7 linked regions of the Canis lupus familiaris genome follow. The protein of the gene in region 5 purifies or fractionates together with the protein of the main gene of each other region. This does not show direct contact. Links are inferred from orthologs where the notes say so. Each region holds a gene or a part of one and is shown on either strand. Other genes may lie near its edges.

Evidence for each region.
Region 1: the proteins of VCP (region 5) and CUL1 purify together in Homo sapiens (affinity purification with western blotting; 4 studies listed by BioGRID and IntAct, with this or other methods). This does not show direct contact. The link is inferred for Canis lupus familiaris from reciprocal best matches to the Homo sapiens genes VCP and CUL1.
Region 2: the proteins of VCP (region 5) and UBAC2 purify together in Homo sapiens (affinity purification with mass spectrometry; 3 studies listed by BioGRID and IntAct, with this or other methods). This does not show direct contact. The link is inferred for Canis lupus familiaris from reciprocal best matches to the Homo sapiens genes VCP and UBAC2.
Region 3: the proteins of VCP (region 5) and SVIP purify together in Homo sapiens (affinity purification with western blotting; 3 studies listed by BioGRID and IntAct, with this or other methods). This does not show direct contact. The link is inferred for Canis lupus familiaris from reciprocal best matches to the Homo sapiens genes VCP and SVIP.
Region 4: the proteins of VCP (region 5) and UBXN10 purify together in Homo sapiens (affinity purification with western blotting; 3 studies listed by BioGRID and IntAct, with this or other methods). This does not show direct contact. The link is inferred for Canis lupus familiaris from reciprocal best matches to the Homo sapiens genes VCP and UBXN10.
Region 6: the proteins of VCP (region 5) and BTRC purify together in Homo sapiens (affinity purification with western blotting; 4 studies listed by BioGRID). This does not show direct contact. The link is inferred for Canis lupus familiaris from reciprocal best matches to the Homo sapiens genes VCP and BTRC.
Region 7: the proteins of VCP (region 5) and TUBB3 purify together in Homo sapiens (affinity purification with mass spectrometry; 3 studies listed by BioGRID and IntAct, with this or other methods). This does not show direct contact. The link is inferred for Canis lupus familiaris from reciprocal best matches to the Homo sapiens genes VCP and TUBB3.

What each region holds. Positions count from the first base shown.
Region 1 is NC_049237.1:1,659,920-1,663,545, forward strand, and holds part of CUL1 (cullin-1), read right to left. Parts: intron 1,272-3,626; coding exon 1,223-1,271; intron 860-1,222; coding exon 728-859; intron 1-727. UniProt on the Homo sapiens protein: Core component of multiple cullin-RING-based SCF (SKP1-CUL1-F-box protein) E3 ubiquitin-protein ligase complexes, which mediate the ubiquitination of proteins involved in cell cycle progression, signal transduction and transcription.
Region 2 is NC_049243.1:49,408,134-49,412,293, reverse strand, and holds the start of UBAC2 (ubiquitin-associated domain-containing protein 2), read right to left. Parts: upstream 2,840-4,160; 5' UTR 2,518-2,839; coding exon 2,487-2,517; intron 1-2,486. UniProt on the Homo sapiens protein: Restricts trafficking of FAF2 from the endoplasmic reticulum to lipid droplets.
Region 3 is NC_049242.1:45,097,766-45,102,153, forward strand, and holds the start of SVIP (small VCP/p97-interacting protein), read right to left. Parts: upstream 2,907-4,388; 5' UTR 2,803-2,906; coding exon 2,749-2,802; intron 995-2,748; coding exon 944-994; intron 475-943; coding exon 361-474; intron 1-360. UniProt on the Homo sapiens protein: Negative regulator of the ER-associated degradation pathway (ERAD) of misfolded proteins. It competes with AMFR/gp78 for binding VCP/p97, and inhibits AMFR/gp78-VCP/p97 complex formation that is required for degradation of ERAD substrates.
Region 4 is NC_049223.1:78,140,418-78,144,583, reverse strand, and holds the start of UBXN10 (UBX domain-containing protein 10), read left to right. Parts: upstream 1-1,277; 5' UTR 1,278-1,423; intron 1,424-1,540; exon of another isoform or gene 1,541-1,734; intron 1,735-1,871; exon of another isoform or gene 1,872-2,069; intron 2,070-4,166. Other genes in the region: PLA2G2C (putative inactive group IIC secretory phospholipase A2), read right to left, coding at 1,073-1,155. UniProt on the Homo sapiens protein: VCP/p97-binding protein required for ciliogenesis. Acts as a tethering factor that facilitates recruitment of VCP/p97 to the intraflagellar transport complex B (IFT-B) in cilia.
Region 5 is NC_049232.1:51,941,676-51,945,301, forward strand, and holds part of VCP (transitional endoplasmic reticulum ATPase), read right to left. Parts: intron 2,637-3,626; coding exon 2,525-2,636; intron 2,336-2,524; coding exon 2,163-2,335; intron 794-2,162; coding exon 651-793; intron 105-650; coding exon 1-104. UniProt on the Homo sapiens protein: Necessary for the fragmentation of Golgi stacks during mitosis and for their reassembly after mitosis. Involved in the formation of the transitional endoplasmic reticulum (tER).
Region 6 is NC_049249.1:14,342,899-14,346,524, reverse strand, and holds part of BTRC (F-box/WD repeat-containing protein 1A), read right to left. Parts: intron 2,887-3,626; coding exon 2,776-2,886; intron 1,312-2,775; coding exon 1,233-1,311; intron 1-1,232. UniProt on the Homo sapiens protein: Substrate recognition component of a SCF (SKP1-CUL1-F-box protein) E3 ubiquitin-protein ligase complex which mediates the ubiquitination and subsequent proteasomal degradation of target proteins. Recognizes and binds to phosphorylated target proteins.
Region 7 is NC_049226.1:64,180,443-64,184,655, forward strand, and holds the start of TUBB3 (tubulin beta-3 chain), read right to left. Parts: upstream 2,851-4,213; 5' UTR 2,751-2,850; coding exon 2,694-2,750; intron 1-2,693. UniProt on the Homo sapiens protein: Tubulin is the major constituent of microtubules, protein filaments consisting of alpha- and beta-tubulin heterodimers. Microtubules grow by the addition of GTP-tubulin dimers to the microtubule end, where a stabilizing cap forms.

The sequences.
Region 1 (3,626 bases), on a different chromosome or scaffold from region 5:
GAGCACAGCGAGGAGGCGGCTGTCACCATGGTGGGAAGAGAGTCCTCACCAGAAAGCGAATCAGCCAGCATCTGGATCTTGGACTTCCAGCCTTCAGAACTGGGAGAATAAATTTTTAGTGTTAAAGCCCCCAGTCCATGGTGTTTTGTTACGGCAGTTTGAGCAGAATAATATACCCACATAACTAATTTCAGTCGAAGTGAAATAGGTCTAAGACACATCACAGCACTCAACAGGTTAGCAGGCACAAGCTCAGCGCAGAGGTGGCTGGATAATGAAATAACTGCTCAACGATCAAGTAAAACGCTGTCTTCCTGCAGGTACAATCGCAGACAGTGAACTAAACCCAGAGCAAAACAAACACAAACCAACTCAAAGCCAACCACATGCAGGTGGGCTGAGCCACCCTGAGTGGTTCTGGTGTGTGAAGACAGAGTGGGGACGAATGTGCGGAGTAGGAGATGCTGCGGTGGTGAGCACGGCACAGCCGGGTCTGACGGGACAGGAGGCCCCTCCAAGAGCAGCATGGATGGGTTGGCAAAGCATGTGAAACAGGGAGGGGAGGCCTGACCGGTCACAACCCCCCTGTAGCGGAGCAGCGGGGCTCATTCCATACAAACTCTTTGTTACCTAGACTAGCGACTCTGCCCACTGACAACCTGCAACAGCTAAGATCTTTCACGATGACTTAAAAACTGGATTTTTCTCAGGACATGATCAAATTTACCTTTAATTTTGAGATCATGCTCGCCTCGGCATCATCACTGGCACTGTTCTGATGTACGAGTCTTTTGGCCAGCATCTTTGCGTAGAATTTCTGAAACACGTCTTTATCCTCTATATACTTGAAGACCACCATCTAGTGAAGTCACCAAGAGAGCAGATTTAATGCACTAAACACACGCCGGCAGCCGACACAGGTGCTTTATTTTGACTGGCCTGTGTGCCAACGTTTACAGTGGTAAAAAAAAAATACCATCCACAGTCTTGAAATATTTTCATCAACCCCTTTAATCATATTAAGTTGGTCTAGACTTAGTACTAATGAGGAAAGTACGAGTGCTAAAATTAATGACTCAATTTAGGGAGTAAAACCATAGATATGAAGTAAAATAAATGATCCTATTAATTTTCACATTTCAGATGCCCTATACAAGTAACCTTAAAACTTGGGAGATAAACTGCTACTGGAAACCAGAGTGATTAGTAAGAAGCGCCTTACCACTTGGTTGAGCGTGTCTTCTAGCTCTGCTTCTTCTGGATTCTTGGAACTGGAAAAAAAAAAAAGGTATACTGTTTTCAAACAAATCAGTAAACATTTACTCAGCAAGTACCACTGAGCCAAACTTTTCTCACCTATGGCAACGTGGCAATCTTACACTGAAACTATCACGGAAGAACATGTTTACGAAATAATCGTTTTGGACATGCAAGATGAAAATCAACAGAGGATACTTATTAAAGTCTGCCCTGAACATTCAAGCTTTCCTTTCGTTTCTGAAAGGAAATCTACCTAAACACAAAATAAAGGAACTTTACTTTGCCAACTGCTTCCTATAATATGCTTTAATTTAACTCTGAAAAAACCAAAAGCACATGTAGATTTCTAATGGCCTAAGCATTAAAGAAAACAAAACTGTTTAAAGCCACTAAAGCACTGCCTTCCTCTGTGGTTCTATGTAACAGAGGGCTGCCCTTAACAACTAATTCTTTCTCTTTTATGAACAAGTATTAACTGAAAGGTGACTCTAGGGTAAATGAAATTTTTAAGGTTTTATGAGTCCTTCATAGATAAGATCCCCATAAGTTCACATGAAATGATCCAGCTCATGATCCAGCACATGAAATGACCAAACAAGCTCTGGAAAGGTATTTCTAAGAAAATCCAGTCCTAGTCCTCACACAGGTAGCCCAGGGTGGTTTTTCTCTCTGGAAGAGTTTTCTTTCTTAGCTCCACTCACTAGTGCGTGCTCACTGAAGCAACCCTAGCATGTGTCTGCCATTCTGTCTGCTTTGGCAGCATTAACTAAGAAACAACACACCAAGAGACTTGGTGAGGGCCTCTTGTGAAAAGGCAACGTATAAAAAGGATAATAAGTTTTTTGCCAAACTGAAGGTCTGCTAAAGCATGTTATTAAAATATTGAAAAAAAAAAAAATAAAATAAAATATTGAGAATTTTCATATAATCTAGCCTAAAAAAAAATGAAATCAGGTCAGAGGAGGCATTCCACTTTAAAGTCCATTTTTATTCTCGAAGGACTACAAGAAAAGATCGGACTAGAACGGCTGAATTATACACTGACCAGACTTGCAATAAATAGAAAACCACCCCCAAATACCCCATTTTCACCAGCCTTGGGGACATGGCTTTCTGGCAAAGTCAGAGAGACAGCTAGTGACATTATCAAACGTTTTCCCACGTCTGCCAGGAAGACCACATATACTTCCGTTAATATAGTAAATTACGTTAAATTTGCTACCACCAAGCCATCCCTACATTCCTAGGACACTATACTATGTTCTGGAGAATTATTCTTTAGTTCTCTAATAAATTTAGTCTGCTAACACTTTACTTAGGATTTCCCCAACTCTGTTCTGGGACTTGTTTCCAGTGTTTTTCTTGGTACATGTAGGTATCCTCAGTGTTTTCTGCAGTGGGGTTAGGTGAGCCTTTAAGAGATGTTTATTCATCTCAAAACCAGGACAACATGGGGGCATGGGAAATGACTGCGTTTGTTGATGGATTGCTGGAAAACTGAAACAGAAGCTGAGAATACCCAAATACACACAACCTGGAACCCTAGAAGCACAACGCAGAGGAGAGAGCCACAGGAGATCATGGGGCCTCTAGCTCTTAATAGACACACACACACAGAGGAGGAGGAACAGGTGAGAAACATGATGGTTTAAAAAAAAAAAAAAAAAAAAAAAAAAAAGAATACGGGGGCAGCCCAGGTAGCTCAGCAGTTTAGCACCGCCTTCAGCCCAGGGCTTGATCCTGGAGACCCGGGATCAAGTCCCACATCGGGCTCCCTGCATGGAGCCTGCTTCTCCCTCTGCCTGTGTCTCTGCCTCTCTCTCTCTCTCTCTCTGTCTCTCATGAATAAATAAATAAAATCTTTAAAAAAATAAAAATAAATAAAGAATACGAAGGGCGCCTGGCTAGCTCAGCTGGTGTAGGGAGCGACTCGATCTCAGGGTTGTGAGCTCAAGCCCCAATCTTTAAAAATATATAAATGTAAATATACACATACACAAAGAATACGAAACAGCAGTAAAACGAATTGATCACATGAAGATAAATGTTAAAAGTGCACACGATAATTCAAATGCCAGAGTGCACAGAAAGTCTTGTTTCAGAAAACAGCCAGTGGGAGCTCCCACAGGAGATCTTCCCTGGCATCATGACCGAGGCTCACAGAACATCCGCAGGGAGTACAAGAAGGACACTTACTCCTTCCTTCCTTGCCACCCTCGTAACCACTGCTTGACCAACCTGTGAACTTCATTTAGCTAAATAAATTCTATAATTCTCAAAGCCCACAGTAACATTAAAAAAAAACAAAAACCCACAATAAAAACCCACTAGAATTTATAACATGAAGTATCTTTTAAGGAGACAAA
Region 2 (4,160 bases), on a different chromosome or scaffold from region 5:
CCTTGATTTAACACCCAGCTTTCTTTAGTACCTTGAAAATGCCCTGCCGTGCCTGTTTCGGTCTTTGTGTTTGCTGCTCCCTTTCTGCAAAATGCACATTTTTTGACAAATTCTGACGTGGCTGGCTCCTTCCCACCATTTGGTTCTCACCTCAAATGTCACATTCCCAGGTTACCCTCCCTGACCACACTTGCTGAAGCAGGCAATCATGCCATTACACTCATCTTGTCTTCATGACACTTAACACTAAGGGAAATCACACTGTTTGTTAACTTATTGCATGTTGGTCTCCTTTATCCTGTTTACCTCTCTATCCTTTGTACACAGTGTGTGGCTTACCCAATAGACACTTAATGAATAAATAAATCAGAAGGCAAATGTAACACTAAAACCCCATTATCTACCAGTCACAAAATGAGGAACCTATGCAGGTGGTAGGAAATGCAGAGACTTTTTCTCTTGAAAAGAGAATGTTACTCATCATCCATGGGGTCATGGGTAGGCAGATTAGCCTTCCTTAGGATACTTAACTTAAAATCTGAGCTTTGACTTGCCAAAGAGCCATACAACTTAGTAAATGAAATCACTTACTTCTCAGTGGGTAGCCTTGCAAGGAGAAATTTTAAAGTAGGTAACTGCTCATACCCAGTCTTGCCAAGACCAGTCCTGGAAAAACCGCCCAAAGTCCACTGTAAACACTGCAAACACAAGGGACCAAGACGTGTTCAACATCGCAATCCCAGCACCTAGCAGTTTCTAGCTCACAATCGATGTTCAAAATGTTTGTTAAATGGGCACAGAAGACATGGCCTTCTGAGGAATGGCCATCCCATCAAGTCTTTTTTTTTTTTTTTTTTTTTTTCATCCCATCAAGTCTTACCCTGAGGAAACACTTACTTTAGAAACAGGGCAGGACAGCTTAGGCCCTGGCCTAAGCCTTGGCCTATGCCTCTCCCTGGGTAGGAGTTTGGTTCCTAGAATTCAGTACTCATCAACCCTGTGCCACGTGATCAAGTGTTAACCCCAATGTCACCACGTATCACATCTGAATAAACTTTGCAATACAATGGCTACTACAATATAGTAATCACCAGCAGTAACCAGTAACCCAGTAATGCAGTATAGTAACCTTTTTAATTTTTTCATGTATTTTGGTCAGCAAGTAAAAATAGCTCAGAATGCTGAAATAACTAAAATGGAAGATTCTACCATTAATTTTATATCCACCAGTGTAGGACTCACTGTGTGATCCCAAGAAAATCACCACTTTCTTGACCAGCAGTATCAACAGTCCTATGTGTATGTATTTTATCTCAAGGGTGGTTTGGAGAAGATTAGCTCGTAGTTGTAACCTACTCTGAGGCCAACGAGTACCATAAATCGAATTAATTATGAAACAAGGAAAATCATAAATACTCAACCCGCTCCAGAACCCGAGAGGTTGAGAGAGGAAGATTTAACCTTGCGCCTGTGGCTCTGATGGGCAGTCTCGGACTGAGACCTGTATTCTCAGAAAAGATTTCTGACAATCACAATACATCTTTTAATATTTGAAAATGTCAACTGCTTCCATACTGAGGCACGATTAAGTTCGCGTGCAGAGAGCTCTGAAGTACCAACAGTGACAAGCAATTTTAAATTACGCCTGTTCAAACAGTTCCTGTTACTGTACCAGTGCCTAATCTCGGTGCTGTTTACTTAACATACAGTCCACCTTACCGAAAGCCAACTAAACAATTTCAGCGAAAAAAAAAAAAAAAATTGTCATTTAAAAGGCTCCATGCACTGCTTTGCCCTCTATCTGCTGACCACCGCGGACGTTCAAGTGAACGATGACAGCAACATCCAGCAGCAATGTCCGCACTTTCCTGCCAGATGACTTCTTCACTTCCTTCCACTTTAATGTACTTTAATCAGTTTTTATTTGTCGAAAAACTCTCACGGGAAACCGAGGAAGAAAAAAAATCTAAGTAAACCCTTGGGGTCGGCTCCTGAGACCGAGGCTGGAATGTGCACCTGGGGGGGAGCCAGTTCGGTCCCTCTGTAGCCTAAATGGAGCAAGGTGACTGGGAAGGGGGCAGGCTTCCAGCATCGGCTCCACCAGGACAGCCTCCTCTTTCAGCCTGGCACCCGCGCCGCGGAGCGCAAGGGGTCGAGCCCGGAGAACACCGGGACGCCCAGGCCGACCCTAACTTTCCGGTCCACCTGGAACACCTGAGCATCGTACCTGGGGTTCACAGGTGAGGGCCGGGGCTGCCGGCGGGACTCAGCGCCCACTGGCCCCTCCGGGCTGAGGGCGGGGGAGGGGGGGCCGGGCCCGCCGCCCCTCACCCGCAGGAGGAGCCCCCAAGGTTCGGGCGCGGGGATGGAGGGTCGGCCCCCAAACCTCCTACAACCCCGAGGGTCCCCGCTGCCCCCAGGCTTCTCAAGGAGGTGCCCAGGGTGCCGCGTGGGAAAGAGCCAGGATGGCGGCGGCCGGTACTCACAAAGCCCGCTGGAGCCGGTGCTGGCGAACATGGTCCCGCCGGACCCGGAGCCCCCGAGGGGGGACAGGGGGAGGGGAAGCGGAGGTGGAGGGACCCGGAGACCGCGCAGGCGCACTCCCGGCGCAGCGGCGAATCCGGCAACTGGATTCCACTCCTGGGGCTGCCCGTGAGCGGCGCATGCGCGGCCCGCGGGCCGCACCGCTCCGCCCGCCCCCTCCCTTCCTGCCCGGGAAGGGAAGTCGGTCCGCAGCCGGAGGCGTCCGCCCGTCCGGGTTTTTCCGACTGCCGCGGGCCTGCTATAGTGAAGGAAGGGGAGATGGTGGGAGGAGCCGGAGGGCAGCTGCCGCGAGCAACGTTCCAGCGCTCAGCGGCGCCCACGCCCCGTGGAGCAGCGTGGCAGCGGATTCCTCCGAGTGCCGGCGTCGGGGCGGGGGTGCGGGGCTAATTCCTGGCGACCTCTAACCTCTCCCGGGACGGGACGCGGGCGAGCTCCACGCATGCTCAGTGTGTCTGGGCGCCGAAGCTCGCTCCCCCAGGGCGTCGGCAGGGGCTCCCCGGGGTGCGGCGTCCGGCCGAGGGCGAGAGGCTCTGAGCCGCCTTGCTCCCCAGGCGTCTGCTCTGGCGCCCTCCAGACCTGGCCTTTTTTTTTTTTTTTTTTTCCTCTCTTGCAAAATGATATTAATTTTTTTTTTTTATGAGAGAGAGAGATGAGAGAGGCAGAGACATAGGCAGAGGGAGAAGCAGGCTCCATGCACCAGGAGCCCGACATGGGATTCGAACCCGGGTCTCCAGGATCGCGCCCTGGGCCAAAGGCAGGCGCCAAACCGCTGCGCCACCCAGGGATCCCCAAAATGATATTAATCTTTAAGGCAAAGTCATGCTTTTTTTTAAATGAGTTTGAACCTGAAAACTATATTATCTAGTGTAGTTATTAAAGAATACTTTTTGCGAAATTGACAAGGCTAAATGGAAAGGACACCTTACAAAACTACAGGAAAAACAAACAAACAAACATTTTTTTAGTGTTTATAAGGACCAGGCGCTGAGCTCAATCTGGAATTTGTGGATCAATCAAACACAGTCCCTGCCTCTGAAGAGAGGTGCCAGTGACCCAAAATTTCAACACGGATTTATTGCTAGAAGGCGAAAGTATAAGTGACTTTATTTATTGGGCTTTTCTTTGTTTTTGCAGAAGCTGTTGGTTAGCAACAAAACCGGTAGCCAGCATAGGTCACTGGTTCTCAAAGTAGGTGTGGCTACTTCCCCCACCCCAATTTGGGGAATCCAGAAGGCCAGAACTATTTTCATGATTGTACAAAGACATTTCCTTTTACTCAGGAGTGTACAGTGGAGCTTCCCATTGTGCCTTTGGAAGGGCTGCAAACTCTGTGAACCAACATTCTCCAGCTGATCAATGCATCATGTTACAAAATCCTGCGTGGGTAAGATGGAGTCAAACTGCAAGATAGATGAATACCTATGCCATTCACTTCCCCTGGGATGGGACTAGAGCATATTATGCTGAATGAAATAAGTCAATCAGAGAAAGACAATTATATGGTTTCACTCATGTGGAATATAAGAAATAGTGAAAGGGACCATAGGGGAAAGGAGGGGAACTGAGTGGGGAAAAACTAGAGAGGAAAACAAACTGTAAGAGACTCCTAACTCTGG
Region 3 (4,388 bases), on a different chromosome or scaffold from region 5:
AGATTAGAAATGTCTGTAAAGTGACACTGAATTCGGGGTAATTTTTATGTTCTTCTTTATACTCTTCATAGTAAGTTTCCCATGTATTAGTGTTAATTATATAAAGTACTAAGATAGTGTTAAGGTAATCAGGAAAAAACAATCTATTTTCATTTTGGGGAAAAAAAAGGCAGATCTACTACAACAAATGTTGGAATGTCCAAATAAATTGCCACTTCTTCCAATCTCTATTATTCATGCTTTTAAATTAATTCAAAATTTTCTGATAATCTATTGCAAGAGGAAATTATTCAATAGACTGCTACTGAAGGTTTTAAAAACTCCAGATAAATTAAACCTTAAGTAAATTTTAATACTTACCCTAAGTCCACCTTCTGGTGGGGGCCCAGATTCAGCCATTTGTTTTTCTATTTTTTCCTTTTTCTTTCTTTTTTCTTCCACAGACCGAACATCCAGAATGCCCCGAGATGCAGCCTTTAGAGAATGTATTAAGTGGTACAGGGAAACAACAAAATCAGTATTCAATATCCAAAAGGTGTGGGTTTGTTGCTTTTTGGGTTTTTCTTGGAAGGTGAGGGGTTTTAATTCTGGCTATAAAGAGCTAGACTATTTCTATAAGAGCTTCATAGAAAACATCTTACTATTTCTTCATTGGGTATTTTTTTCTGTAAATCTCACATCTGTCAGTGTTTTAAAAGGCAAGGTAGCATTATCCCAGGGAAGGAGGTCATTTAAGGGCCAATCTTATGTTACAGAAGACGTCTGTAATCTTCATGTATTAAATGATATAAATGCATTTATGTAACCTACAGAAATCATTTTGAAAAATGACTACATGTAAATTTACACGTTAGCGGACAGCATTTTCACTAGAGAACACTAGTAATAAATAGAATAAAGTACACAGTTATCTCTGTGGGCAGGATTTTATGTCTACTCTTACCTCCTTCTGTCTTCTCTCTGCAGCCTCTGCAAGCTTTGCTCTTTTCTCTTCCTAAAGAAAATGTGTAAAAGCAGGTTTTTAGAATCAAAGCAAACATTATCGCGGAGAAGTCCTGTCTTAGAGGCGATGTAATTTACAAAAATATTTAGTATTTGTTCAAAATGTCCACTAAGACTGTCGCTATTTACACTGTTTAGGAAATCCTCAACTTCCTGAATGTCATCCTCCCAGTTGATATTACCTTCAGGTAAGCACATTTAAGACACATTTACATAATAAATGTTTTATATGCATATAAGACATACACAAGATCGGGTTGGCCTGTAAAATTATTTATTATTTATTACTTATTTTTTAAAAAGGGGGGCTTATACGCTAGTCAGGGCAAGAATATAGAACAAATGACTTTTAGTAAGACAAGGAGCGGAATGCGTGGTTTGAAGTAGGCTGGGGTTTCCGGGAAATGTCCACGGATGACCAGGGCTCATGCCATCGTGCAGGACACCAAGCCCCGAAGGAAACTTGTTAGGAGGCCCTGCTCCATGCTGGGACACGGGCGGGGGGCGGGGGGGGGGGGTCCTCTTTCTATCCTGTACTGCTGGCCTTGGTAAGTTCCTTAAAATCTCTAAGACAGTAAATAGAATTCTCTTGGCTGCGTTTGTTTTTCATGCCACAATAAGCACATCCATTCCTCCACTGCACGCGCAGTTCCTGGGCAACTACCTGCCCCAGGACCTTATTCCAAGCGCTGAGGATGCAGCGGTGAAAACACGCCAATGTGTCCACACGCGATGGGCGGACGGAGGTGAGTGCAACCGGGTGGGTGCAGGTGCTGCACAGCCGTGGGCGCTTTGAGGGGATGCACAGGGGCGTGCGGGGGATCAGGATGGGGGCCGGGGGGGTCCGCTTCAGCTAGGGTGGCCCCCAGCAACTGCAAAGGTGGGTGACATGCGGGTGCGAGCCCTGTGCCCACCTGGGGGAGGGGAGGGCCTAGCCGACACCGGCGGGCAGGGCAGCAGCGGGGTCCCCGGGGCAGCAGCGGGGTCACCGGGGCAGCGGGGGCGGCAGCGGGGCGTGCGGCAAGCTCTCCCCCAACAGCTCGCTTCCTCCACCGCCTTCTCCTCGGACGACGCCAGGGGCGGGGTGTCCGCGGAGCCACGGCCGCTCCCGGCGCCCGACCCCGGCCCGACCCCGACCCCGGCCCCGACCCCGGCCCGGCCGCGATCACTCCCGCGTGAGCACGTCCCAGCGCTGCCGCCCGGGAAGCGCCGCCCTCGCCCGGCGGGACCCGGGCCCCGGGATCGAGCCCCGCCGCCGGCGCCCCGCACGGAGCCTGCTGCTCCCGCGCCCGCGTCTCGGCCTCTCTCTCTCTCGCTCTGCGTCTCACGAATAAATGAATAAAGTCTTAAGGAAAATAAAATTAAAAAAAAAACAACTTGGAATTTAAGTGGGCGCCCTGCGCTTTGTATTTGCTAAATGTGGCAACGTCACAAATCGTCCCCTCGTGACCGCGGACAGCGCGCGGTCCTCGGAGGAGGGAGGGAGGGAGGGAGGCAGGGAGGGCTCAGGCTCAGCCCCGGGGCGCGGATCCGGGGGGCGCCCCCGCCCCGCCCCCGCCCCCGCCCGCGGAGGCCCAGCGGCCGCACCGCCCCTGCAGCCCGGCGGGCACCGAGCCTCGGCCCTGCAGCGCCGCCTCGGAGCCGCCCGTCTCCGCCGCCGCCTCCCGCCGCCCGCGCCTCCCCTCCCCCCCGGAGCAGGTGCGCGGTCGGCGGACGCGAGCTACGGGCCGGCCGCGGCCTACTCACCAGGGCCGGCGACGGGGGCGCCGACTCCCCGGGACACGGAAAGCACAGCCCCATGGGGACAGCGGCTGGGGGCCCGCGGGCCCGCCCCGACCCGACCCGACCCGCAGTGCGAGCGGCGCCCGGAGCGCGGCGGCCCAGGTTCCTGCGCTCGCCCCGCCCCCGCCCGGCCCGGCCCCGCCCCGCCCCGCCCGGCCGGCCCCGCCCCGCCCGGCCGGCCCCCGGCCCCGCCCCCGCCCCGCCCCGGCCCCGCCCCCGGCCCGCCCCGGCCCCGCCCCTTGTGGCCACGCTCCGCCCCCGCCCCGCCCCGGCGGCAACGCCCCGCCCCCGGCTCCGCCCCCCAGGACAACGCCCCGTCCCTTGTGGCGACGCTCCGCCCCCGCCCGGCCCCGCCCCGCCCCGGCGGCATCGCCCCGCCCCCGACTCCGCCCCCCAGGACAACGCCCCGCCCCTTGTGGCGACGCTCCGGCCCCGCCCGGTTCCCCCCCCACACTCCGTCCCCTCTCCCGCGGCTTCGCCCCGCCCCTCTACGATAACGCCCCGCCCATGGCCCCGCCCCCGCCACGGACCGCCCTGGCCCCGCCCCTCCACCACGGCTCCGCCCCCATCTGCGGCAACGCCCCACCCCTGGCCCCGCCCCCACTCCATCCCTCTGCGGCAACGCTCCGCCGTGGCCCCGCCCCTCTGCCGCGCCCCGCCCCGCCCTGGCTCCGCCCCCTCCCGCCTGGCTCCGCCCCCTCCCGCCCCCTCCCGCCAGACCAATGCCGGGGGGGGGCAGACGAGGCCTCCGCCCCAGGTGGCCGGGAGCCTGCTGCGTTTGCGCAGAGAGCGGGAGGGAGACAGAAATAGAAGCCCCACATTCTCTTTATTCATTTGTCAGTGGGCAGATTAAGTTGTTTTCATAGGTTGCCTTTTTAATACCGCCATGAACTTGGGGTTACAGGTACCTCTTCATCATAATCCTTTGGTGTCCTTGTCCATATACCCAAAAATGAGATTCCTGGGCCATTTACAGAGCAGTTTTAATTTTAATTGCTAAGGAATCTCCATAACGCTTTCCATGGTGGCTGCGCCAGTTGACCATCCCAGCAGCAGCTACAGGGCTCCCTTTTCTCCACATCCTGGCCAGCAAGGCCCTCTTGTCTTTTAGGTAAAAGACATCATAGCAGGTGTGACTCGATACCTCGTCGTGGTTTTGATTTGAATTCCCTGATAATTAATGATGTTGAGCGCATTTCAGTGGCCATTCATTCATATATTGTTGGAAAAATGTCCATTTAGGTACTTTGCTCATTTTTAAAAAATTGGGTCATTTATGGTTTTTTGCTCCAATTGTAGGATTTACTTGTATATTTTAGATGTTAACCCATCATCCGATATGTGATTTGCAGATATTTTCTCCATTCCATAGGTTGCCTTTTCACTTTGTAGCTTCCTTTGCTGTGCAGAAGGGTTTTTTAGTGTGATGTTTATTTTTTGCCTTTGTTGCCTTGCTGTTGGTGTCAAATCCAAAATATCACCAAGACCAAGGGCAGTGAGCTTACTGCTTATATTTTCTTCTAGGAGTTTTATGGTTTAAGGTCTTATGTTCAGATCTCTCATCCATTTGACTTGACTTTTGTGTATGGTGTTAAGACCATTTT
Region 4 (4,166 bases), on a different chromosome or scaffold from region 5:
ATACACTAGATAGCAAATATCTGGCCACAATGCTAGGTAATGAATCCTAATCCTCTCCACTGATAATTTGGTTCTTGGATGTCTACTAACATCATCTTCCAATAATGTAGTCACAAAATTATTCATCTGCATATTCCAAGAATCTAGAACAGTGCCTGGCAGGCAATAATAGTCCAGTAAGGGCTCCTTCTGAAGCCATCTCAATTCCATTTTGGAAGAGTCTTCATCCATCAAGTTGGGATCTGAAGGGTGAGTGGGCATTAGGCAAAAGAAAGGAGGAAGCCAAGTGTGGGGAGGATGGAGAAGGATCTTCCAGGTATCGGGGACAGCAGGAGCAATGCTGGAGTGTGGCCCTGTGGCAGGGAACTGGCTTGGCTGGGGGTGGGGTGGGGGTAGGGGTGGTGTCTGGAGGAGCCGTAGGTCTTGGACAGAGTCAGAGAACGTGTCCCCTCCCACTCGAGCAGGAGAGAGGGAGGAAGGCAGGCAAGTGTGTAGTCTGATGGCAGGACATTAAGAAGGCTTCCATAGGATGGCTTCTACTTTCTCCCTGAAGAGGGAAGTAGGGATTCTTCTATGTGGGAGGAGGGGCAGGGAGAGGGAAGAGAGGAGAGGTTTCAGGAGAGAGGACAGGTCTGAAGTCACCGCGGAGGAGAGAGGAGACAGGACGGAACCGTGGGAAGTGGAAGGATTTCTTCTGAAGTGTTGAGGGTCCAGTAGAAGTTGGAGACCACATCTTTCCATTACCCCCAGGACCACGGCTGGTCAAGGTTTCTCCAGCCCCTGGGTGTGGGTGGACTGATGGATGGAAACTCCATCAGCCCTCAGGTGGGAGGGATGGAGAGGCCCCCGGAGAAGCGCAGGGGGGACTCTCCTAAGGGAATGGTCTGGGTAGAGGGCCTCGGGCTGGACAGGGCAGGGAAGAGGTAGGCCGCGGTGGGGAGAAAGGGCACAGGGCAACGGGCTGGGGTTTCCACCGTGGGGTGAAAGACAAATGGGTAGCGGTGACTGGGGTTGCCAGAAGCGTAGGGGTAGAGGTGAGGAGGGGCAGAGCAGGGGCAGAAGCAACTGATACCAAGGAAGGGATGGAAGTGGGGGTGCTGATGAGGAAGTTGGAGGGGTTGCCCTGAGGACAGACAAGGCCCCAGCTGGACTCATGCCCTAGAAGCACCCTGGCAGCCTGTAGGGTTCGCAGGAAACCAGTCCAGCAGCTGCCCCCCAAGCCGGGAACACTGAAGGGCTGGGGCCTGCCCCGAGGTCACGGGAGCCAGGAGCCCCCCCCCCACCTGCTCGCCCCAGGGCCGGGCTGGGCGGCCCAGAAGGAAGCACGTGGCCCCCTCGGGCGCGTTGCCCGGGAGACGCGGGCTGTTTACCAGCGGCCGGAGCCGGCGGACAGGCGGATGGAGCAAGGATGGAGCAGCGGCAGGTGAGCGCGCCGGCCACGGCCACCGCCAGGGTCACGGCCAGGGCGACGCCCCGGGGACAGGACGGGCCCGGGGAGAAGCGGCCACTCCCGGGGCCACGCAGGCCCGGCCCAGCTCACCGTTGCAGGAATGGGGCAGCTCCCGGGCTCCGCGGAAGCCCCGGGGCCTGGACGGGGACACCGACCCGCGGGGACCAGAGGCCGTCCCGCACACCGAGAGGCCCGAACCAGACCAGACCGGAGCTCCCCCAGACCCGTGCTCTTTCACCTGGGCGCCTCTCACTTTCTAGACGTCCCCTCCTGCCCCTCCCCCAAATGCCTGCTTCTGCTGTTCCAGCCCCTTTCGGTCTAGAGGGGCCTGCGGGCACTTGGAAGATCTTCTGCAGCTATCCTCCTCCACCTGCCCCTCCCCACGCTGCTCCTGCAACCGTCCCCACTGCCTTTTCCAAACCTTTGATCACTTGATGGCTTGCGGTCCAATTTCTCCACTCCCCCTTTGAAACGTGGCACTCTGCGTGGGACAGTGCATTCTACTCATTTAGTCGGGGGTAGAACTGGGAATGGTACCAAAGTTTTCTCCTGCTCAGGCCAACTACCATCTCCTGTTGATTCTTCTGAGTGCCTTTCATGCCTTTCATCCTGACAGCCTCACCAGGGGGGCGGGGTGGGGATTGGCAGGGGATAGTATTAACTGATAAACATTTTTAAAAGACCAATTCAAATGTATGCATCCTCGGTATACATCAGCAGATGGTACGTGGGTGGGTGTATTTTACTGCGTTTACCGTGGGTTTAGATTTGGGCTGTGAGTGGATGAGGGTGGTCTGACCCTGTGCTGAGGGGCGGGTGGGGGGGGGGCTCCTTAGGAAAGCAGGAGGATGGCCTCAGCCTTTCCTGTCACATGTTCTCCCTTTCCAGTTGATTGGGTGAGTAATCTTAAGGAATGGGTGCCTGCCCTTTTGGCAGTTCCCTGGAAACAGTTACCAATGTTTGTTTCCTGACTGCTAGCAAGCCTCTGGGGTGCAGCTATTCTGTTTAAGTAAACAGGCCACTTGCCTAATCAGCTGGCAGCTTGATGGATGCCTACACCTAGGTCTTGTCAAATCACTTTGTGGTTGAGCGATTGCCAGGCCTAGAGGTGGGGAAACGAGCTGAGCCGGGATAATGATGGGCTCTGCGTGAGTCTTCCTGGCCCCAGGGGCGGGATGGGCAGGGTTCGGGGACCCAAGGTGTGGCTGCAGAGGCACTGTTGGCCCAGGGTCCCCAAACACCTGTTTCCCCTGCTTCCCCTCTCCATGGGATAGATGCTGGGGAGAGCTGGTGCTCCCTCCATGTAACAGATGGTCCCCGAGCTCGGGAGGAGGCAGTGGGTTATGAAAGCAGGTTCGATGGAATGGTTTTACCTGAAGGAGGTGTTAGTCTCTAAATAACCATGAGTGGGCTTATAGGAATTAGTCATAATTGAGGTTTTTTTTTTTTTTTTTTTCTCTCTCTCTCTCTGAGATAGCTCGCAGTCATGTTATCTTATGACCAGGGTGTCTTGAATATGACACCCCCTGAACATGGATAATTATATAGTACCAAAAGGTATAGAAAGTGCATGCACATACTCAAGTTTTACTGTTAAAAATAATCCAGCAGAGAGCCTGCAAGAACACATGACTTTCCTCATCAAAGTTGTTAAGGAAGAGGTTTCTAAGTTACCAAACTTACTGACAGTTAAACCGTCCCGAGGCATGTGTGGGAGTTAGAAGCCAAGTCTGTGATAATTCTGTAGAAGCTGTGGCAAATTAATAGCCATTCCTTGAGGCGGGGAGGGTGAGCCGAGAAGGGGAGCTGGTTCCCGAGTTGAGCTTATCTTTGGCAGAACAGTTGGACAATTATGACCTTCTTGTGTCATCCTGAGTTAAAGTGCAGAGCTGCTTAATTGCAAGGGAAAGACTTTAGAACTAAACCAACAGGGAAGAAACCACGTTTTTCACAGTTGATCAGAAAATAGATTAAATTAACAAGGAGATGGGCAGGCTTTTTTCATGCCAAGGAGAAGGTTCCTGAACTCCCAGCAGCCAGACTGGGTGTGAAAGCCTAGCGAGAAGTGGAAGATGGGAGTGTGGAAAGACCCCGTCTGTGGACAGGGTAAAGCGAACACAGAGGCTTTTAAGTTAAGAAATGGAGGACAGGGATCCCTGGGTGGCGCAGCGGTTTGGCGCCTGCCTTTGGCCCAGGGCACGATCCTGGAGACCCGGGATCGAATCCCACGTCGGGCTCCCGGTGCATGGAGCCTGCTTCTCCCTCTGCCTGTGTCTCTGCCTCTCTCTCTCTCTCTCTCTGTGACTATCATAAATAAAAAAAAAAATAATTATTAAAAAAAAAAAAAAAAAAAAGAAATGGAGGACAGCTTTTGAACTGGCTAGTGCCTCGGGGATATAGGGGAAGACTGTGTTTTGTTTGGGTCTGGTCTTAATGGAGAGGGAGAGGATACTTTCTAAAATTTGGCAAGATGGGTGAGAGGCACCGAACGGTAATGTTAGAATGGAAGGCTGCAAGGCTGGCATTACATTGCTCAGGATTGTGTGACAAAGGTAGCGTGGAGTCAGTTTGAGGTGAGGATGCAATGAAAGTGTGGAATTAGAAAGCGTTATTAGAAAAGCATTATTTTGCATTTTTGAGGCAAGTTCAGAGGCTGTAGCTCATTAAAATCAGCCTTCCGGCGTTTCTGTGCAGTGGGCAGGGCAGGTGAACGTCC
Region 5 (3,626 bases):
GTGGATCACTGTGTCTGGGGCAACAATGCAGTAAGGACTGGGATCTGTCTCCACTACTTTGAACTCTACAGCACGCATTCCACCCCGGACAAGGAAAATGTCTCCTGTGAGAGTAATTAGCACAAGTGCAGTCAGAGATGTCAAATACCAGAGCAAGTGAGAGTTCCTCACCAGAACCTGTTGTCTAAAATGCCAAGTTCACTAGATACTGCCCCTTTCCCCTTCCCACCTCTACCTTATTAAGCATCAGGCAAGAGGAGAAAGCTAAACTGTGAAGTGTCCCTCTGCCATTCAAGAGGACACTGAACAAAATCTTATGGGCTATAGGTAACCAAGCTTTCACAACAACCACAGATGATCAGACTGTGCTAAATATTAAATACACTTTGGACTGTGACACAGCCAAAAAGTGCCCAAGTCCTCCTTCTGGGACAAAGGAGAAGAGAGCTTACTCTACTGAAGCAGGGAATGATAGTAGGGAAATGGAGGAGTGGGAAGGAGGAGGAAGGAAGGAGAGTACACATGAGCGTGTATGCAGAATGTGTGTGTAAGCACACATATGAGAATGAGATAAAGACATTCCAAGATTTACTCCCAGGTATCCCTACAAACAACTATCCTTAAGCTCAGTCTTTAGAATTATCTCTCACCTTTCCGGATGGGTCGATAAGCTTCCAGGAAGTATGGCTTAAGGTATACCTCGAAGAGATTGCCAGTGATGCCTTCCACCGTGTCATCGATGGGTAGCACGTGGATACGTTTGCCGTACTTCACATCAGGACACGGCTGGATGCTGAGGATGACAAGCAGACTCCACATTACCAACCACAATGTAGCCCCAAACACTGGGCGTCTGAAAGTGCCTGGCACAGAGAGCTGACGGCAAGTAAAAGAAAAAAGGTAGGGATGGCTTTAGGTGAAGAGAGGAAGGAGGGCAGAGTGAGAGTGAGGACAAAAGAGCAGCCAAACAGAACTAAGACCAAGTCATACTTGGGGGAAGGGCAGTAGTAGGAGCCATTAGAAGAAGCTACAAATTTACATTAAAATTTTATTTTTTTTAGGTAAATTTAAAGTTGAACTAAAATGGGGCTGCTCACTCCCAATCAGTGAGCCAAAAGGAAGACCCACACATGTAAAGCCCCCAAAATGAAGAAATAGGAGCAAGGATCTTCAGTGAGAGATATCCAAAGATGACCCATTTGGCTAATATTAGTAACCCAAAATTACGGAGGCCGTAGTGGGACAAGTATCAGGATCAAAAAAATAAAACTGAAAAAAAAAAAAAAAAAAAAAGTCATCTCAGCCAGGTGGTCAGAGAAACTTGACGTGATTAAGCACCTCCAGAAGGCTACATGAAATCTAGAATCCATTAAAAATAATCAGAAGTCTGAGATGTTCCTGGCCAGTCTCAGATGTTCCTGACAGGGGGTTGGATAGCTGTGGCTAGTGATGACTCCAAGATGGGAAAGCTTCTTGCCTAAAGTTAAGTTTAAAATCTCTCAGATTGGGGATCCCTAGGTGTCCCAGTGATTAAGCTCCTGCCTTCTGCCTGGGGCAGGATCCTAGAGTCCCAGAATTGAGCCCCACATCGAGCTCCCTGCATGGAGCATGTTTCTCCCTTTGCCTGTGTCTGTGCCTCTCTCTCTCTCTCATGAATAAAATCTTTAAAAAAAAAAAAATCACTCAGATAGAAGCTGAAGCTATTCAGGGTCTGACTCAAACTATGCTTCTATTCTATATTAACTTTGATCCATAAAAAAACCCTAATCGGAAATTCGCCTTCTATGCCCACACTCCTACCTCATTCTGGTCCCAACACAAGCCATTATTTCAACATAACAGTGAGATTGTTTCATAGACACTCTCAAATGGTATCCTAAACCAGCGTTCAGCATGTTATAAATCATACCTCTGGCAAAAAAAATAAGTAAAGGTATCACAGAAGTCACAGAAATGCAACTTGTCCCAAGGGTCATGCAGAAGTAAATTCTGAAGTCTCAGGGAGGCAGAATCAAAACCTAAAGATAGCCCTGCTATATTAAGTCTTCCCATGGCTAGAAGGATTCTGCTATGGGTAGCTGCCAAGAACTTCATTAGTCCTGTCTATAATTCAGGCTGTCTCTGGCCTCCCATCCCTGAGGGGCTAAGAACCCCACACACACCTGATTACATCCCCTAGATGTACGCGAAGGTTATTCCGAACAACTCTATTCATTCGAATCTTCTCATCGGAACATGTGTCATCAGAAAGCACAATGCACACAGCTTCCCGCCTCTTCTTTCCTTTCAGCAATACTGTGTCACCTCGGAACAACTGCAGTTCATCCATCTTGGGCTGAGAAAAGAAGGTTAAGGCCTTTGGGTCACTGGGCCAAGGGGTAGGCAGCAGCCCTGGAGGCTGGAATTCCCAGTAAACCCCACTCTATCTGTGGTCACTGCAAAAAAAAAAAATGAGGAAAGAAACCTGGGAAAAGTCCTCAGGTTAAGTGCAATAAGGAAAGACTGAACCTTTGACCCAACTTACCTGGGACAAGGACACCACACTGTTGTCCTCATTGATGGCTTCATCGACAATTAACCGATTGGGACGATTCTTCTGTTTAAGAATGGCTGTTGATAAGTCATCACCTTTTGAACTAAAAAGAGAAAATGAATTTAGTCCCAATACATACTCCAGTCCCAGGGACCCCACCAGTCTTTAAAATTCACACTTACGAAAGAAATAGTGGATATATGAAGCTGTCCCTATGCCAGAGAGGTCAGATAAAGGATATTCAGCCACGGTCACGAAGAGTAACATTTAGCACATACAATTCCCATTCCAGCATCTCTTAGTATTCTGAGCACTGGTATCCTAGCTGTTAAGGCCCCAAGTGATCTTGCCCCAGAGTCAGGAAACTATGGCCTGAGAAGACTAAATAGAGGTAGAGGCTGAGTAGGACACCCAGGTGGCTCAGGGGTTGAGCATCTGCCTTCAGCTCAAGTCATGGTCCTGGGGTCCTGGGATCGGGGTTCTGGGATCGAGTCCTGCATCAGGCTCCCCACAGGGAGCCTGCTTCTCCCTCTGCCTGTGTCTCTGCCTCTCTCTGTGCCCCTCATGAATAAATTTTTTTTTTTAAAGTAGAGGCTAAGTAACAATTAGAGAAATGACAATAATCTTAGTATGAAAGAAACAGTGATTAGGAGAAGGGGCTATGCAGTCAGACCTGCTGGGTCTGAATCCCAACCCTGCCACTGTTTAATTGTCATCTTGAGCAAGTTACTTAACTTCTCTGGATGATGATGTCCTCATCTGAAAAGAAGCAAATACAGTAGTACCTATCTTAAAGAATTATCTTAAGTGAGATAATGAATGCAACAATGCCTGGCACATGGTATTAATGGTCACAATGATTACCACTGCAGAAGAAAGCATAAACTCTTCTTTGCTAACCTTCTTGGAGAATGAAGTGAGCAAGACAACTTCCTGTAGGACTCAGGGAGGCCCCAAGTCCCACCAAGCCTGGGGACAATGAAGTAGAATCATTAGCACTACCATCCTTACTGGCTAAACCTGCTAAATTCCAGAGCATTCTATATACCACAGAAATGCCAAGCACAAAGACTATGACATTTGGGGAAAACTA
Region 6 (3,626 bases), on a different chromosome or scaffold from region 5:
AACTGGTAAGTGCATAAACAAACTGGCTCATTCACACAGTGGAATACTACTCAGCAATACAAAAGAACTAAGCACGAACACATGCAACAACATGAATGACTCTCAAATGAAGTGAATAAAGCCAAATGCAAAAAGCTACATACTGTATGACTTTATAGGACATTCATAAAATGGCAAAAATCAGAATAGTGGCTAGGGGTGTGGGAGAGGGTAGTGCTATGAAGCGGTATAATTTTTGGGGTGTTAGAAATGTTCTAGATCTCGATCAAGGTGTTTACACACTGCAAAATTCAGAAAAACACACTGAAAAAGGGTAAATTTTGCTGTATGTAAATTACACCTCATTTAGACTTAGATTAATTTTAAATGAATGAAAGTATACATTTTAAAAAACATGTCTGAAACATGCAGGTAAAGTAGGTCTGATGCTGCAACAATGAGCTTTAAATCCAATCAGGAAGACAAAGAAACATCTCTCTCTCTCTTCTCCAGAGCAGAGGCTGCCAAATGTTGAGAGTTAGGATTCAGAACACTGGGCTTCAAATGCTAGCTCTCATCTTTACCCTGAGTTGTGCTCCCTGGTGCCCCACCTAATTTTCTTTTTCCAATGGCAGCAGCTTTTAACCTTAGGCCATTTTCTCATCCGGGCCTTTGGTGAACACCATGATAAAGAATTTAGCACTTTCAAAGGTGACTTTCTTCCTTTTGAGTCACTTCTTTCCTCAAATGTCAAGATGTTTATGGCAAGGAATAAAAGAGATGGGATTCATGTTGCTGGAGGCAGCATGCCTTGAATAGGCTGCAGAGCCAGGGGGCTGACCGGGGGTTCACACAGACTCCCATGACACTTTTTGCAGGCACAGGTGTGTAGGTCCTCAGCTTCTGGACAGGTTCCAATTTGAGTAATTATGTTCTCTCTCCCTAAGTACCCCCTACTGTTTCTGGTGGATACAGAATCCTTATTCACTTCCTGTACTAAACTGTGGTGTAGAGTTGCTGTGCAGCTGTTAAACAGCTGCCACATTCCTTTCTATACATAGTCTCTAAAGCACTTTTGGATGAAAGGCGCTAAAAAAACATATTTTATTGTCATGTATTAGTTGCCTTTCCACTTAGTAGTAGGTTTCGTGAGCTTCTAACTATCAAATCCAGATCTGTATTCCATACCACATCAATGTTTCATTTCTTTCCCTTCCTGTTCCCCAACCCCCTCTAAACAGCAAGGTTCTTACCACAAGGGTCCGTAGACAGAGAGTCCCTGCAGGAGCACGGGGGTCCAAAGCAGCTACAAGATCCCACACTTTAATTTTTCTAAAGATCCAAAAGGGGACAAAAATCTTAATTAAAAGCAAAATTAAGGGACCATGGGAAAAATAGCAAAAAGTCATGGCAATAAATAGGTATGATGAATGTAATTTTTTTTTTGATGAATGTAATTTATATGATAAATGCAGCTCACAAGAATATATAAGAACTTTTTTTTGTTTTGGAGACTTGGTTTTTGCATTCATTCTTGGGTAGAGGTTATTGGTCTTAACAGGGGAAAAATGTACAGGTTTAACCTAAAAATGAGAAATAGGTTAGCTCTAACCAAGCTTAAGTGAATGGTAAAGTTATACCATACTTTGGGGCCAGGAAGAGATCTTATATATTAGACTCTTAAAGACTGATAGAAGAGATCACTTAGACCTAGAAACCTACAATTGTGAAGTATCTTCTTTCTGGTCAATTCTAAGAATGGCCCAGGTAACCTGAACCAGAGGACTAGAGCCCATTGAAATACTCTGGAGTTTATACAAATTCCCATATTTTGATTAAAATAAGAAAAGTTTAGCTCTTCCAAGAACCAAACATATGGTCATGTCTCCTCAAGGTAAATAACAGACAAAACCCAAGAAAGGTGGGTACAGATAAAAACCAGGGCAATCAGAAAATACCATGTAACTGGAGTATGTTCTCACACCCTGAACAATCTCCCACAGGGTAGAACAGTGATGGATGACTCAAAGCAGAGAAAATGGTCTGTTCCTACTGTATGAGTTGTCTTAATCACTGCCAGCTCCTAAACTAAGGTAATGTAGTAAGGTAGTTTCTAATATTTAAAAAGCTGCCAAGATGTGAACTATAGCCTTCCACTCCCTCATGTCAGGCATCCTGACAAGAAGAAATAATAAAGAGGCCTTCATAAGTAAATACACTTTTATGTGAGTTTACTATGTGCTTAGCATTGCCGGACATGGGATCCATTCACAACATGAATGGATTTTAAAACCATTGGAAATTAGACCGAAGAAAATAAAGATTACTGAACTTGTCACTAAAATGTTAAGAGAAGTGAAGACAAGAGAGCTGCGCTTTTAGGAATTACTCAAAGACATCAAATTCAAGAGCCTACCACATTATGCCCCAAAGATACTGCCTCCAATATTTCAGTTTTATTAATAAGTCATTATTTTACACACATATCCTGGCATACTGTGTTTTCCTAGTTCTTTGCTTTATAGGTGAATCAAAACAGATGAATGCATAACTAAATAACTAAACTGTTAATGAAAATCACCAGGAAACAAGTGCAATTAAATGACTGGGAAAAATATCTTAGAAAAGTAAACAAAGGAGAGGGGAATACATAGATGAGACACAAGAAATATTGTATCAGATCCTTTCTGTAAAATCTATAATCTTTTAGAGTCAGGGAAATACTGTATTTAACATCCTCCGGTAGGAGGAATCAAGATGTACATTTTGTTTTTTAAACCCTGTTAGCAAACTCACCCATCATAGGCCCCACTGACTATCCTCTTGTTATCAAATCGAATACAACGCACCAGTTCCTCGTGGCCTTCTAACACTCGTAAACATGCACCACATTCTATGTCCCATAATCTGGAAGAGAAAATTGAGTCAAGTGAATTTTCATGTATTCTTTTCTAAGCTTGGCATGTTATAATACACTTCATATGTCTTCAAAAAATTCCACAAAAATAAAATCAATCAATACTCATACCAAATGTATTGCTTTCAATGTAATTTATTTCCTTTCTGCTGTATAACTCAGACAGAAAAATGTATGATTTAAGTTAAAATGAAATATATATTTTCAAAGCACAATGCTTTATATAAGTCTGTAACCAGGGTCTCCAAGGCATAAAAAGGATGAATTCAATGTACCCAGTTGCCTGTGAAGGAAATGACCAAGAAAAGAAAAGTAATGCTTCCTGAAATCACCAGTAAGAATGAGATACATGGGGTAGCCCGGGTGGCTCAGCGGTTTAATGCCTCCTTCAGCCCAGGGCGTGACCCTGGAGACCTGGGGTCGAGTCCCACATCGGGCTCCCCGTGAGGAGCCTGCTTCTCCCTCTGCCTGTGTCTCTGTCTCTCATTCTCTCTATGTCTCTATGAATAAATAAATAAAATCTTAAAAAAAGAATGAGATACATAGTGTCAGTGATATCCTGCCCTCACAAAGTATGTCCACCTCTGTTACTAATGACACTTTCTCTTTTCACCCATTGTTCAGGACAATTTTTCTCTATAATGGAAACAAAAGCAAGTTCTCAAAAATGCTTACATGCTAATTAAAAAAACTGGGGGCACCTGGCTGGTTCAGTCAGAAGAACGTACAA
Region 7 (4,213 bases), on a different chromosome or scaffold from region 5:
TCTCCCCGCCCCGAGCACAACCAGCGCTACTCTGACCCAGTTAGGAGGCGGGTGCAAGGAAATCAGGAAATCCCTCCCCGCATTGGCGGTCAGCGCCAGGGCCCGCCCCTCCGAAGCTCCGCCCAGCGGCCGAGAGAAGGGGGCGCAGACAAAGGCTCCTGGAAGGTCCTGCACCCAGAGGGGAAGGCCGAGGTCCCCGGATTCATCCGCCAGTTTGGTGGCGACGGTGAGGTGGCGGGTGGCGGGTGGCGGGTGGGGGGTGGGAGGCCCCGCCCATCCTGATGTATCCGTGCAGACCTAGACTCAGACTCCTGCCCTATCCTTGCTGGGCGGTGCCTCCACTTCCCGGAACGACCCCTGGGGGAAGGGCGATACCTCCTCTCGCTGCCTCCCCGTGAGGTGATGGCGCCTAAAGCATCTGGCACAGTGCTCAATCAGTAGCGATCGATGTCAAACTGCCTCTCAGGAGAGGTGTGTTCTCGCCCTGACCTCTCTCCATCCTTCCACAGCCAGGGCCCTCGCTAGAGCAGGCGCAACTGTGCCAGGCACCGCTCCAGGTCCAGCAAGCAGAGCAGCAGCCCCACCCCCACCCCACCCCCACCCTCACCCCTGTCAGCTGCTGCTGGTGATGGGATGTCAAGGTTTGCTCTCTCCCCTCACCAGAAAGCCCACAGCCAATATGGGATCAGTAAACAGAAATGGTTAATGAACTGCCCCTCCACAGGGCAGATGTCAGCATCTGCTGGGCCTGGCCCCAGCTTTCAGCATTTTCTTTGAGTTTGGTCTCTGAAGACTTTCCAGGACAAGGAGTCCAGAAGGAAAAAGCTCAACTGCTGTCATTGGTCGGCCAAAAAAGGCAGAGGTGGAAAAGAAAGAAACAATTCCTCCCCCCACAAAATCCACCTCTCTCTGGTTTCATTGTTAGAAAGGATCAGACATTAATTTTTAAAACAACATAAAATAAGAAAATCAACCCAAAAGGAATAAAAATAATTAGCAAACCCATGAGGCCACAACTCTAAGAAGGAGGAAAAAAAATCTCAGCTGAGGACACATGTCCAGCATTCAGGCTATGGCCCCTGCCCTCTTCCCTCCTCCTCCTGCCACCTCCCTCCCACTACCCCTACCCCTAGCCCTAGCCCAGCTACAGCTCCGGGCGTGGACTTGCCTTTGCTTGATATGTGTCTGTCCGGGCCACAGAAAGGATGGGTGTATAAACAGATCATGACTCCGCTAGGCTCAGGCTGAACTCAGGGCTGCCCTCCCTCCCCCAGTGACCCCTGACCCTCTGAGGAGCAGATGTTCAGGGCAGGCCTGGCCCCTGTGACCACATTAATGAGCCCCCCGCCCCTCCCACCTGGCCAGGGCAGCTGTCAGTGACTGCCCCAGGAGCCCTGATTTGATTTGAGGCCATCATCCCCCCCGGCCTCCCCCTCTCCCAGCCCCCTTTCTGGGGCAGGCACAGCTGTTTCTTCGGGTGATTAGGGAGTCTCCCTGGTACCACCCCTCCACCCCATCCAAGTCGCCTCCACCCTAGAGAAGTTGCAATTTACATATCAGCCACGAGGCTGCCCCAGCCGGGTTGTAATTAGCTTTTTGTTCTTGCCTGGTTTCCATGGCAACAGCCTCCAGAGGAATCCCTTCCTTGGCCCCTTCCCCTCCAAGACTTGTCTCCTCCCACTGCCTCCTTTGGGAAACTCGCCCTGCACCACTGCACCCTGGGTCCCTGGCCTTGGTCCTGACAAAGCCACCCCTGGGGTCCCCCATTTTGTTCTGTGGAGTGTCCCAGTGGGCAGCAGGCCCCACCCACCCAGCCTGAGCCCTGGGCTGGACGTCTGCAGGGACGAGAGCTCTGGAAGATAGCATGGCTCTTTGGTCACACTTGCTGTGTGACCTTGGGCAAGAAATAATCTCCTTGGACTTGGGGACGTGACAACTGTCTCCTAGGTTCCAGTGGGGAATGATACCACCTTCTCATCCCCTTAGTCCCAAGGTCTCCGATGAAGGCTAACAATGGAGGGGAGGAGCCGCAGGGTGATGCAGCTCTCCATTCCAGAGCCCAGCTTTGTTCCCACAACCCACCCTGACTCCATGGTCCCTGAGTGGGCGCTGTCCAACCCCACCGGGCGTTTGTCCAGGCGGGGCTGAGCAGAGGGAGAGTCCAGTCCTGGGCCAAGGTCACCCCGAGTCTGGGCCCAACCCCTCCCCCAACAAAGGAACAGGGTGGGGTCAGGAAGCCGAGGTTCCAAACTGTATGTTTGGGGGCCTGTGTGGGGGGGTTCTGGCCACTTGGAGGGCATCCTGTTGGTGGGGGGAGCGGGAGCAGGGCAGATGGAATCATTTCGGCTTTGAAGGGGGTGTCCCACCCACACCTGCCCACCCCACCCATCTCGCTCAAGGCTGAGTTGCGACCCCAAGAAGAGGGCCACGCCCAAACCGTCCCCGCAGCTGCAGCCGCTGTGGATGGAGCTTAGTCGCCGACTTGGGCTGCGCTCCTGCAGGCCTGAGCTAACCCGAGCAGAAACAGAGGGCAGGCGGTGTGGACGTGGCAGGGCCGGGATCACCCCGGCTCGTCCCTTTGTTCTCGGCTTCGCGGTGGTAAGCGCGGCTCTGGGTGGGGACGCGGGTCGCGTGCCGGTGTCGGGGACCGAGCCTGGGGCGGGGGAGGGGACGGAGGCGGCGCGCGTCCTCACCTTGGCTCCGATCTGGTTGCCGCACTGGCCGGCCTGGATGTGCACGATCTCCCTCATGCTCGGTGCGTGTGGCGGGCGGCTGCGGGACACGCGCGGACGGGTCGGGGCTGGCTGCGGAGGGTCGGCCGCCCCCGCCGCCCGCTCTTATAGGCTGGGCCCCCCCGCAGCGCCCGGCCTGGCGTCACCGCGCGCGGCCAATCGGGGGACGCCGCCGCAGAATGCGGCACCGGCCTGCAGCATCAGCACCGCGCATCCCCGCCCGGCAGCGCGATGCGGCGCCTCCTCCCGCCGCCACCCGGGTCCGGGGGGCCCGTGGGGGGCGGGAGTCTGGGCCCCACCCCGCACACCGAGGGGAGGGGCTGGCGGGCTCCTGGGAGGACAATAGAAGCCCCTCTTGGCTCTCGGACCCCGCCCAGACTTCCCTCCCGGGTCCCACCGCTGCGGCAGCCCCACCCCGCGGCTTTGCAGACAGTCTTTCTTCCCCACACCCGCTCAGGGACCAACCCCATGTTCCATCCCAAAAGGACGCCTCTCCCTCTCAGCTCCCTGTCTTGTGGCATAAAGGGACGAACGAGGTACCCTGAGCTTTGCTGGGTCCCTTAGGGGTGGGAGAGGCAGGAAGAGGCTGCAGCAGACACTGAACCCTCCAGAAGAAAGCATGGAGCAGGGCTCAGAAACGCGGAGTCAGAAGGACGGTCGATTACAATGGCAGCTGTGAACTTCCCCGTCCTTCCCTGCAGTGGGGGGATGCCACCTGCCCCTCCTCCCTCAGGGGCTTTCATGAGATTCCAAATGGACCTTGCGCAGGGGGAGGCTTTGTACCCCAGCGAGGCACAGTGCCTGGTGTGTAATCGCTGCTCAGTGAATATTGATGTCAGGAATTATCGGAAGGACACAAGCCAGGTGAGGGACTGGCAGGGTGTGGGATGGTGGGCAGTGGTTTCTGTCTGATTCACTTCCTGATGTCACCTGTACTCCTGGACTTTTGGTCCAAGTGAGGCCAACACAACATTGGTGGTAGGGGCTATGTAGTGAGATGGTGTGTGCATAAGGCAGAGATGGGGGGGATTCTTGGAGAAAAAAAACTGGGAAAGGGAGTCCACTGGTCAGAAGAGAAAGGGGATGAAGTGGACATGCAGTACAGATGTTATGTTACACATACATATACCACTGGCTTACTATTCTTCTGGGGCCAGACTCTGTAGTGAAATGACCTTATAACAAGGTCCTTCTGATAGTTGAGTAAGAAATTCTCCCAGGAAGGGTCTCAGAGTGCATGGGTGTTCCACAAGCTGTTGGCTGAATAGGCCTGTGATGTGTCTGTGTCTGGGCTCCTCAAGAGTGCGTTGACAGGGTGTGGTCGTGCACAAGCCCCTCTTCCCCCGTCCCCCAAGCTCTCCAGTTTGGCTAGTCTAGAAATGGGTCTTTTGTTCTCAAGAGACACCCCTCCCCCACAATGTGTCCATGATGTGGCTTTCTGTGGTTGGCTTCCACTGCCTGGGGCCACTCCCTGTCCCCAT